2 linked regions of the Drosophila melanogaster genome follow. The protein of the gene in region 2 interacts with the protein of the main gene of each other region in a pairwise test. Each region holds a gene or a part of one and is shown on either strand. Other genes may lie near its edges.

Evidence for each region.
Region 1: the proteins of CG6972 (region 2) and Rbp interact in a two-hybrid assay, tested with the Drosophila melanogaster proteins (one large-scale study listed by BioGRID).

The regions. Positions count from the first base shown.
Region 1 is NT_033777.3:15,372,535-15,377,763, reverse strand, and holds the start of Rbp (RIM-binding protein), read right to left. Parts: upstream 3,130-5,229; 5' UTR 2,903-3,129; coding exon 2,796-2,902; exon of another isoform or gene 2,087-2,795; intron 1-2,086. Other genes in the region: Ccm3 (cerebral cavernous malformation 3), read right to left, coding at 4,294-4,378, 4,751-4,915, 5,001-5,133, 5,192-5,229.
Region 2 is NT_033777.3:22,700,220-22,705,135, reverse strand, and holds CG6972 (uncharacterized protein), read right to left. Parts: upstream 3,130-4,916; 5' UTR 2,846-3,129; intron 2,218-2,845; 5' UTR 2,211-2,217; coding exon 2,097-2,210; intron 1,883-2,096; coding exon 1,544-1,882; intron 1,485-1,543; coding exon 1,284-1,484; intron 1,228-1,283; coding exon 1,111-1,227; intron 1,044-1,110; coding exon 924-1,043; 3' UTR 798-923; downstream 1-797. Other genes in the region: CG13842 (uncharacterized protein), read left to right, coding at 1-66, 119-593, 649-785; CCAP (crustacean cardioactive peptide), read left to right, coding at 3,657-3,767, 3,969-4,032, 4,086-4,378.

The sequences.
Region 1 (5,229 bases), 7.3 Mb from region 2:
CACCCAAAACTGGGTTGCGGCCTGGCTATGCTTTACACTCTATTAACCCACATTCTGGCCAAAGTCGTTGCGGCCATCGGAGTAAATTAAATGGAAAATTCCCATTCACTCGGAACTGAGGCACGTTATCTAACAGGGAGAAAGCAGGGAATTGGGAAGGTAACCTCTGCCAGCACAGTATCTTTATTTCCGCACAACGTGCCGTATGCGTAATATCATTTACAACTGCAAGGCGACTGTCTAGTGAAATATACAAAAAGTCGTAATTAAAACAATATTCGTTGACTATTCGTGGTTGGAAAAAAACGCCACAAAGAAATGAAACGAAATATTCCTGCCAACTTTGTTGGCCCCAAACTTCGACAAACTAATTTAAAAACTTTGTTGCGTTTTTGGTTTTTGGCGCGCAGCAACTTTGATTTACTTTGAAATGAAGTGCCCAGAAAACCAAGAAAAAAAAGCGGGAGAACAAAAGTTGCAACTGCAAAATGGCAATTTCCACCTTGTGTGTTGACAGACAAGTTTGCAAAGAAAGGCAATTAATTAGCATCCGGAATCGGTTGCCTTGGCAAACTCACGAAAAATGCAAAAAGTTGGCCATACCAAGCTAATATTTACATATTCTCCAGCAAAGGTCGGTGAAAGTTTTAAAGCACCATTGTCTGCTCTTCGATGCCCTAATGAGCTGTCGTTCAATTAATTGAATGCTCACACACTTGGGCCATAACAATCAAGTGCTTCTAATTGCAGCAATTATAGCCGACGAAGGCAGGGGCCAACAGCCATTGCCAACAATTACATGCATAAATAGTCGACAATGTGCTCGAGAATATGACGAGTGGCAAGTCCTAAAAATAACACTGCGAGCAGAAACTTTTTAAAGTCGAGCAATTACAATTACAATTACATTTAAGATGTTGGGAAAAGTTCATTATCCTGCTGCTGGCATGACCTCAATCGCAGAGCCAAGGAAAAAAGCGAACCAGAACACGAGCACAAAAACTATCTTGCCTATTTATAACAAGCTGCTCACACACAGGCACACACACAGACCCACGAATTTCGTCGCTTCTGGCGCTGAAATACTATAGAAAAAAACCATAGCACAGTTATGGGGTGGAAAACCAAACCGCCAAACCGGGAAATGGGAAGTGGTTCGGAGAGAAGCAGGGGGATCCCCGCCTGTGGACATCTCATGGTCGCAGTTTGGCTGGCAGCCCAGCATATAAATTATTGAATGATTGCCATCTGTCAAAATTGGCCAAACTCAACGATTAATCCTGCTCGGAAAAATCCAATAAAATCATAATGGCTTTTCTTTTCAAGCCGTTCTTTATATTTTTCAACACGGGGGATCTTTCTGTTGGCTTAAAGGAAAATTCAATTGAATAGTTGCACATTTGAGTTCTTCATGTATTAAATACATATGCAACATGTTAATTTAAATTTGGCCAATTATGTTTTAATTCATCTACAGAAAAAACTACATATTTATAGAAGGAAGCTATGAAGACTTTCTTTTCATAATAAGCCCGTCTAGGTTGTGATAATGTTGTATTAAGTATCCGCAACGTGTACCAGGCCATCGACGCGTGACTTTCGATCATTGCAGTGGAAACTGAGTACAGTGGGCTATAAATATATACGAAATACGTGAAAGCATTCAATCGGTGGAAAGTGCTGTTACGGGTATTAAAACACCGCTCCAGAGAAGGTAACGGTAACCGCATGCACGCTGTAGATACCTTTAGTGTACATATATATGTATGCATATGTACATGCATACGTACATACACACGAACGTGTGTGGTGGGTGTACACTGTATGTAGTATGTGTGTTACGCACGCAGCAGCAAACAACTTTAACATTGTTGTTGCGCAGGCTGTGGGACAAGTGTGAAGTGAAAACCGCCCCCAGAGTGCGAACCCAAAAAGTGGGACTTTTCTGCTGCTGCTGCTGCTGGTGCTGCTGGAAGCTTATGAATATGAAACGCTCACACACACATGCTGCTCCTGCCGTTGTGGCACTTGCAGTGGTATTGGTGCTGCTCCAGTTTCGTTGGCCATTTACATCTACTTTACTTACATGCCTCTCGCTCTTTTCGCTTTCTCTGTATGTGTGTGGCGGGTGTATGCGTGAGTGTGTGTGGGTGCGCGCTTTTTTGTGCCAAAATGTAGCTGAACTCTGCTTTTAGCCAATTTCTCCGATTTTATTTAGGCATTTTTCTATAATTTCGGTTTCATTCACCATTTCGCCTGCCTCGGTTTTACAGTGATTACCCGCATTTGCATATTGTATATGCATCAGCATGTGGGCGAGTATGTATATGTATATGTTTGGATATATGTATGCATGTGAGTGTGTGTGGGAGAGTGTAGTTTTACGCTGGCTGCTCTTTTTCGTATTTTTTTTTTTTTTTTGCCTTTATCGATATGCTTACACTTTTACTTTTCACTGTCCCACCATTTTCCCGGAATCATTATATCTTTCACTGGATTTTTTAACTGCACTCGCGGCGAGCTTTTTCACGTTATTGGCGAGAAAATGAAATTTTCACGCAGCAGCGGTGCTGTTGGGCAAACATTTGGTGTACAGCGAAATTTTTCGTGAGCTCGCTCGCTCGCATAACAGCTCTTTTTTTCAGCTTGCGCAAAATAAGTATTTACCACGCGATTTTGACACTTTTTGCTTAAACTGCGGTTTTCGTTTTCGGAAGCACAGGATTTTATCCTTTCTTTTTGGGTTAACTTTTTGTAATATTTTGTATTCGGGGGCTTTTGAACGGGTTGCGAACCTTTTTTGCTGCTTGTGCTTCTGCTTCTTGCTTGCTGCTGCTGCTGCTTTTTCAGGTCGCCTGTTTTCCTCTTCCACGTTTGCGCTGGGAAATTCACATAAATGCATATAGTTTACACTAGGCTACGTAGGCTGTACATAATATATCCGAAAAACGCGATCGTTTCACTGCTACTATATAGAAAAAAACTCCGCCTAGTTGTCCACTTTCTGTGGGTAGTAGCAGTTGGGTCTCAGTGCGAATACCGAAAAGTGGGTCATCTCGGTCGCGCTGCTGGCGCACTCTGATTTCTACCCAACTGCCAGCTCGGTGCTCAGTGTGCCAGAGCAGAGTGGCCCAGAGAACCCAGAGCCGAGCACTCAGTACCCAGTGCCCACTATTCAGTGTGCGGGGAATCGATTTTTCTGCCAAATGACACTGAAAAACGGGCAATTCTCTCCCGCTCTCAGAAGGACTCCTTTGGGGTTGCAACTGGGTAAATTTCTGCTCAGGGCCTGTTATTGGGGGTTTACTATTACTTTTGGCTGTTATCCGTTAACAGCGCTGTCCTCTGTTAACGACATGTGCGTGTAAATCTGAGATTTTGATTTCAGTTTACCAATCTCTGATTTTCGAAATCAATTCTCGGGTAATATAAAACAATTATTTCCACATCATACCACACCTAATACTATAAATTATAAAGTAATTTTACGTAAATTGGTTAAATATGAAACACTCTTTTCAATTTTGGAATATAAATACATTTATTTGTCGTTTTCTTTTCGCTATGTCTACATTATGAGTTTGTTGCCGTTCTTTTACTTTTGCTTAGTGTTCGATTTTCATATAACATTTTATTAATTAAAATAATTTTTTCTCCATCCTGTTGATAGTGCTGTCGGCCACTAATGTCTTTCGCTTTCGCAGTTTTCAAATAGAACATATCATTAAGTAAAAGATTATTATGTATAGTGTTTAAATTTCAAACTCTAACAATTAAAAACAGTTAAAAATTTAAGTGTTCCGTTAATGTTTTTGTTTGTCATCTCCCCGTAGTACATACATTTCCTGTTTCTCGTTTTTTTTCCACTAATTTTAAATTTATTCGTAGGCGCTTCTCCTAAACAAAAACAAACTAGCCGATGTTGTTTGTTAACAGAAAAAGAATGAATTATTTACAATAAATTGTAAACGAAAAATAAACTCTCGCACACATCGTCCGTCTCCATAAATAGTTGCTCACTAGTTAATTACAATGCTTAGGCTTCGCAAAATTTTGTGTCCGAGTATGTGTAATACATATGTATATACGATATAAATTAGGCCTATTTATTTAGTTACAACAGATTTTCATTTACGTTCAAACATTTAACTTGGACTGCGTCGGGCGATTTTGTATTTAAGTGTGTTGAGTTTATTTGATTTGTTTCGGTCTTGGTATGTTAAATGGTTATTTAAACATAAAATTAAAATGCCACTAATTAATTAATTTGCCATAATTAAAGGATTTAATTCTCTACTCGCATTTACTCTTAACTGTCAGCATTATTTGATTCGTTTGCCGTATTAGAAAAAGTGCACTTATGAATACTGCATTCGGTCTGAAAATAGATAAAATAAAAGAGAATCGGTTAGAAAATCCTTGCTGAAGCAATTTGAATTAGTAATGCAATTTGGCCCCAATTTCATGAAAAGGTCAGCGGTAATAGCCATTAGTACGTAATCGAAGCAATTTACAATTTAAAATGGGCGGGGGTCCGGCTTAATATCCGCCCCTCAGAATCTCCGGCGCAAAATGATAAACCAAACAATACCCGGAATGCCAATGGAATGACATCATCTCAACGGTTGGCCCGAAACGATAAGAAACCAGATATGAGCCGATTTAAAGAAACCGGCTGTCATGGCGTCGCAGCGTATCGTTTGATAACACATATAGTAAATAATCACTGCAGGTGATTCTTAATACTTACTGTCCTTCTTTGAAGTACTCCTTCAGCGTTGTGCTGAACTTCTTGGAATATTTGACGAACTCCTTCTTACGCTGCTCCACAGCCTGCTTGCCCGTTACGCCAGGTATAAACGAGCCGATCTCGTTGACCACATCGAGTAGTTTCTTTATGGCGCTGGCGATTTCCCTGTAAAACGCAGTAAAATTTCATTATTCATTAATCAGTTAAGCTTATGCAGTGAGTTTTAGCTTCATTTTGAGTTTTTACTTACTTGATGGTCTCCAGGAAGGTCTTCCTGTCGTTTATCTCATCGGGTATGCGGCTGAGGATCACCTTGAGAGCCACGGACTTACGATTGAGCTCCTGGAAGGGCTCCTCCGTGCGCGTCAAGCGGTATTCATTGACTGTGGAAGGGGGAAACTTCGTTAGCTACGAAACTCAGCTGCTGGCGTGGCTACTTACGGTCCGCTTCCGTAATTTTGCCCTGCAATCGGAGCACG
Region 2 (4,916 bases):
CTAGTTTGCGTTGCCCTGCGCACCAAACTCATCGCCGAGGTCAACGCCAATATAGACAAGCTAAAGGTGACTTATTCGCATGCTAGTAGTGAGACGATACTAATTCCTAATCCTCCAGAAAACCACCGACGAGTGTGTTCAGATACTTTCCGCAGTTTGCCGAGTCCTCAGCCTGGCCAACTTTACGCTCTGTTTTCCGGCCGCCAGTTTCTGGCAACGCGAGGTTTACAACAACGATGAGAAGAGCCTCTATGTGGGCTATGTGCTGGACGAGATCTATCTGCCCACCATACGTGCCACCAAGGACATTGTCATACTCAAGCTGATCCTGAAGCTGATTTGTGAGGCCTGGCTGGACTTTATCTACCAGAAGCGCATTCGCTTCAGTGTAAACGGAGCGGTTCGGTTGCTCAACGATTTCGACGATGTGCGTGAGTGGATTCTGGCCTGCAGTCTGTTGGATGAGGAGCAGCTGGATAAGCTGAGCAACCACGAGGTGCTGCGCATGTGCAAGGGTGTGGGCAAGATATTGCTTCGAAAGCCAGAGGATGTGATCTCCATCACCCAGTCGCCGAAATACGACAAAAAGGCGCGTAAGTTGTGTTTGAATATCTATGTGGATCCTATGTTTTTCTGGTCTCCTTGTAGAGGATGCCTCTGCCCAGGACACACAGCTGCCTTCGGAGATGTTCGTCTCCAATCAGAAACACTGGCTGCAACTGAGAGCCAGTGGAGGCAATGGATTTCCGTTCCTGAAACTTTGCTGCGGCGATATTGGCATGTAGATGACCTCGTCAGGGGGTACAAATGTTTATTGAGCCGCTAAAATGCTTTACAAAAGTGAGGGTCTAGAATATATTATAATATATATTAGAAAAAGGGTAACTATGGTTATGGTTATTCTCTTATGTGGAAATCTCCCTTTAGGCGGGCACCTTGCGACTAATGATCTTTATCAGCTCATCCACGCGCTCGCTCTTGCCGGCGAATTGTTTTGGATGCGGTCCAATCATTTGAATGATCATCGGTACGTCTTGCGAGACCTGAAAAATAGCAAAATATTCGAATATTTGACAGCTGTCAATTTGGGCTACCCCGAATATAGGTCACTACCTCGAGGAATCGAACGAGGGCCCTCAGGGTGCGGAAGATTTGGTCTTCGTTGGGACTGCTCTGGAAGAACTGAAGAATGGCCATGGCCAGCTCCACGGCGATATCGTCGAATACCTGCAGATATATATCTTGTATCTACGATATTTTCCAATACTTTGCATACCACATACCACAGTCTTCACTTCCTTAATAGCAATGTTGTACAGGATCATGCTGCCAATATTTTTCAGCTGCGGGCAATTGGAGAGGATGCAGTGGACGGCCACCTTGGTGGTCACTCGTATGTTGGAGATGGTCTGACCATTGTATTCCCACTCCGAAATGTACAACAGCCATTCGGAGGGACCCAGGTTCTCAAAGAGATTGCACATCTGAAACATATTGAATATATAGCAAACTTATATATTCATTCTCCCATTGCGGGACCTACAAACATGGCCCAGGCCTGCTGCTCCTCGGGCGTCTGCTTGTCAATGTCCTGGGCGTAGTTCATCAGTGTGTGATCCCTTCGATCCTGGTGCAGAATGATGATCACATCATCTTTGAGCGCCGCATAGGCCAGCGTGCGGATCAGGTGTATCCGTGTGTCCGGCGAGAAGGCCTGATTGTCACGCAGGACGCGCTGCACGAAGATCAGAAAGTTGTCGCCCAGCGCCCAGGAGCCATCGTCCTCGATCAGATACTGATGCAGCTCCTCCATGGCCACTTCCTCCTCCTTGTAGATCTTGCCATCGAGCAGTTTCACTAGGCTCTCTAGCTCAGTCTTTATCTGTGGGAAGTGGAAGTGGAAAGGATAAGATATATGATGCATTTAGCGATGATTCGGCATTAGATAATATAAGTCACAGATTTACTGCAATTTTCAAAAGTGCATCTAATTGTTTACAAACAAATCAGCCAGTTTGTAATTGTGTATATAAGAAAACATTTTTGTTGGTTTTTTTTTTGGTACTTGGATACAGCTTCCTAGTCTTTGGACTTACATCGATGTCTTTGAGGACCAGCGCCGGTTCGCGTGGTACTTCCTTCTCCTCCGTGGACTTGGAGCGCTCCTTGCCGTTCTGGGACTGCTGTTGTTGGGCTGCGGGCTCTGACATCTCTGGTCTATTAATAGCCGCATGAGGAAATTATAATAATAAAATAAATTGTATAGTCAAAATTAAATGAACATGCATTCGCATGGGACCACAACAAACTTTCGCTGCGCAAGAGCCATTAAATTGCAAAGGATTTTCACTTTTTATTCGATATTATTTTTTACGATCCGCCTGCGATAATGTTGTAATTTTCAGCACAAATTGCCAATCAGGCGTGCTGAAATGTTTACAATTTCGGCAGTAGAAATATGTGAGGAATTTGATGTTTCATATAAACAAAAAAGGCGGAAAAGCATTTAACTTAATTAACAGCAGAGAAGCGCTGGGAAATGAAAAGGAAAAAAAAGAAAAGCGGTTGCCGGCGACACCATTGGGTAGGGGAAAAGTTGTCAAACCGAAGTGTGACAGTAAAACTGAGGAAAACTCAAAATAGCCGTGGTATTTTTAGTTTTTTACTTTACGTAGACAAAAACAAGGTACAGAAGATTCTCAACTGGCAACACGAAATTGCATGCAATGTGATATAAACGACTTTTTTCCGGCCTCAACCGACAGAAATTGGTAATTATAATCAAATAAAATGTTGAGATATTCCCAATTAATATGCATAATTTATAGATTTCCAAATTACTCACATGCTATTTTAGTAGAAGTGACACAGAAATTCCTACACTTTCGACACCAAATCGTGGGAAAGTCGCGAAGAAATCACAATTTAAAAATCAACTAGGGCACAAATGGTATCAGTTGTTTATTCAAAATTCCGAAAATGAATATATGGTTATTTATTTTCCAGATCATGCAACTTTTGTAGAACTTTTCATTGAATTCCAGAGATTCGAGTAGCACGCGAACCGTTTTGGCAGAGAGTCGCCTCGAAATTGCCTCTGTTTGTTCGGAAAAGTCTAGTGGAAGTGTGAGGAAAAGTTTCGGAAAATGCACACTCAAGCGCGTAGGAGCGATCTGTGAGTGTGTTCTTTCGGATATATCCGATCGGATCGGGTCTTTATAAATAGATACAAACGCCTCAGTTCGCTCGCGAGCGAATTATGGCCAATGCAGCTGCACTGAACGAAATTAGTGACAATTGCGGGGGATTTTCGCCCACTTTAAGCCTGCCCAAGTTGCGTTTCAAATTGAATTTGCAGTGGTTTTTATTACACTCGGCAAGGGCAAGGACCATCCTTCACACGTCAATGCAATGTTAATGTGCGGGGGCGACCCGGCTGGGAAAGGTCGGGAAAAACACAAAAAGCCATTAAGTGGCAACCAAAATACATTCCAGGCCCAGCTGGTGGTCCTGTCGCCTTCTGAAAGCAACAAGTCTCACATTGCGTAGCCGAGATGTTGACCAAGGCCCAAGCTGCGGCCACTTTCATTTGGCTTTCGAGTGTTAAGCGCGTCGGTTGCTAAGTGGATCCTTATTAAAAAAAACACACTCCTGCAATGAGAACGTCCATGAGGATTTCCCTGAGGCTGCTTGCACTCCTGGCTTGTGCCATTTGCTCTCAGGCTTCGCTGGAAAGGGAGAACAACGAGGGCACCAATATGGCAAATGTGAGTTATCAATGGATTAACTATTTCATTAAGACCCAACAGAAAGTGGAAGTAAATTGTGAAATTCGTTAAATTAGTTAAGCGGAGTTATAATCTAAGTTGATAACGCGACGCATTGTTTAACGTTCATTTACATACCTAATTAAATAGTTGTTACCTGATTAGTTTTGATATAAATATAATTTATCGTCTTATTTGCAGCACAAGCTAAGTGGCGTTATACAATGGAAGTACGAGAAGCGACCGTTTTGCAATGCATTTACAGGTAATTTTAATACAATATATAATAATATCCATTACAATCCGGACGATTTACAGGCTGTGGACGAAAGCGTACGTATCCCTCGTATCCGCCATTCTCGCTATTCAAACGCAACGAAGTCGAAGAGAAACCCTATAACAATGAGTATTTATCCGAAGGTCTAAGTGATTTGATCGATATCAATGCCGAGCCAGCTGTGGAAAATGTTCAAAAGCAAATCATGTCGCAGGCCAAAATCTTCGAGGCCATCAAAGAAGCCAGCAAGGAAATCTTTCGGCAAAAGAACAAACAGAAAATGTTGCAAAATGAAAAGGAGATGCAGCAATTGGAGGAGCGCGAAAGCAAATAAATCGAAATAATCGGATAAATCGGAATTATCGGAATAGTCGGATTTCTGGAAAGCAAATTGACTGGACGGTTAGCACACTGCTTTTGTTATTGTACATACTATCTTTATCCATGACTCCTTGAATTGTGAAGAATTCCACAGCACTGGCATTGCATTCAATAAAAATTGTTGACCTCACTTTTTGTTGTTTTCTGGTCTATTGTATTTATTGGTAATACATCTGATTATAGAAAACGGTTTAGAAAGTTCATTATTTTTACCACACTGAATATACAATATGTTACCCTATGCTATCTCTTGGTGACATTAGTAATTGGTAATCGCAGTTGGTTCTCGTATCATTGCATACTTATGATAACGATAAGGACAATCATAAAAGGTATTTCAACAGCAAACAGATGGATTGCACCTAGGCAACTTTAGCAAATAAATTAACAAAACACACATATTCATTTCAACTTTATAATTTACATAATACCTATAAATAGAGAGCGAGTTAAAAGTAACATTATTATAACAAGAAACTATGTTAATTCAT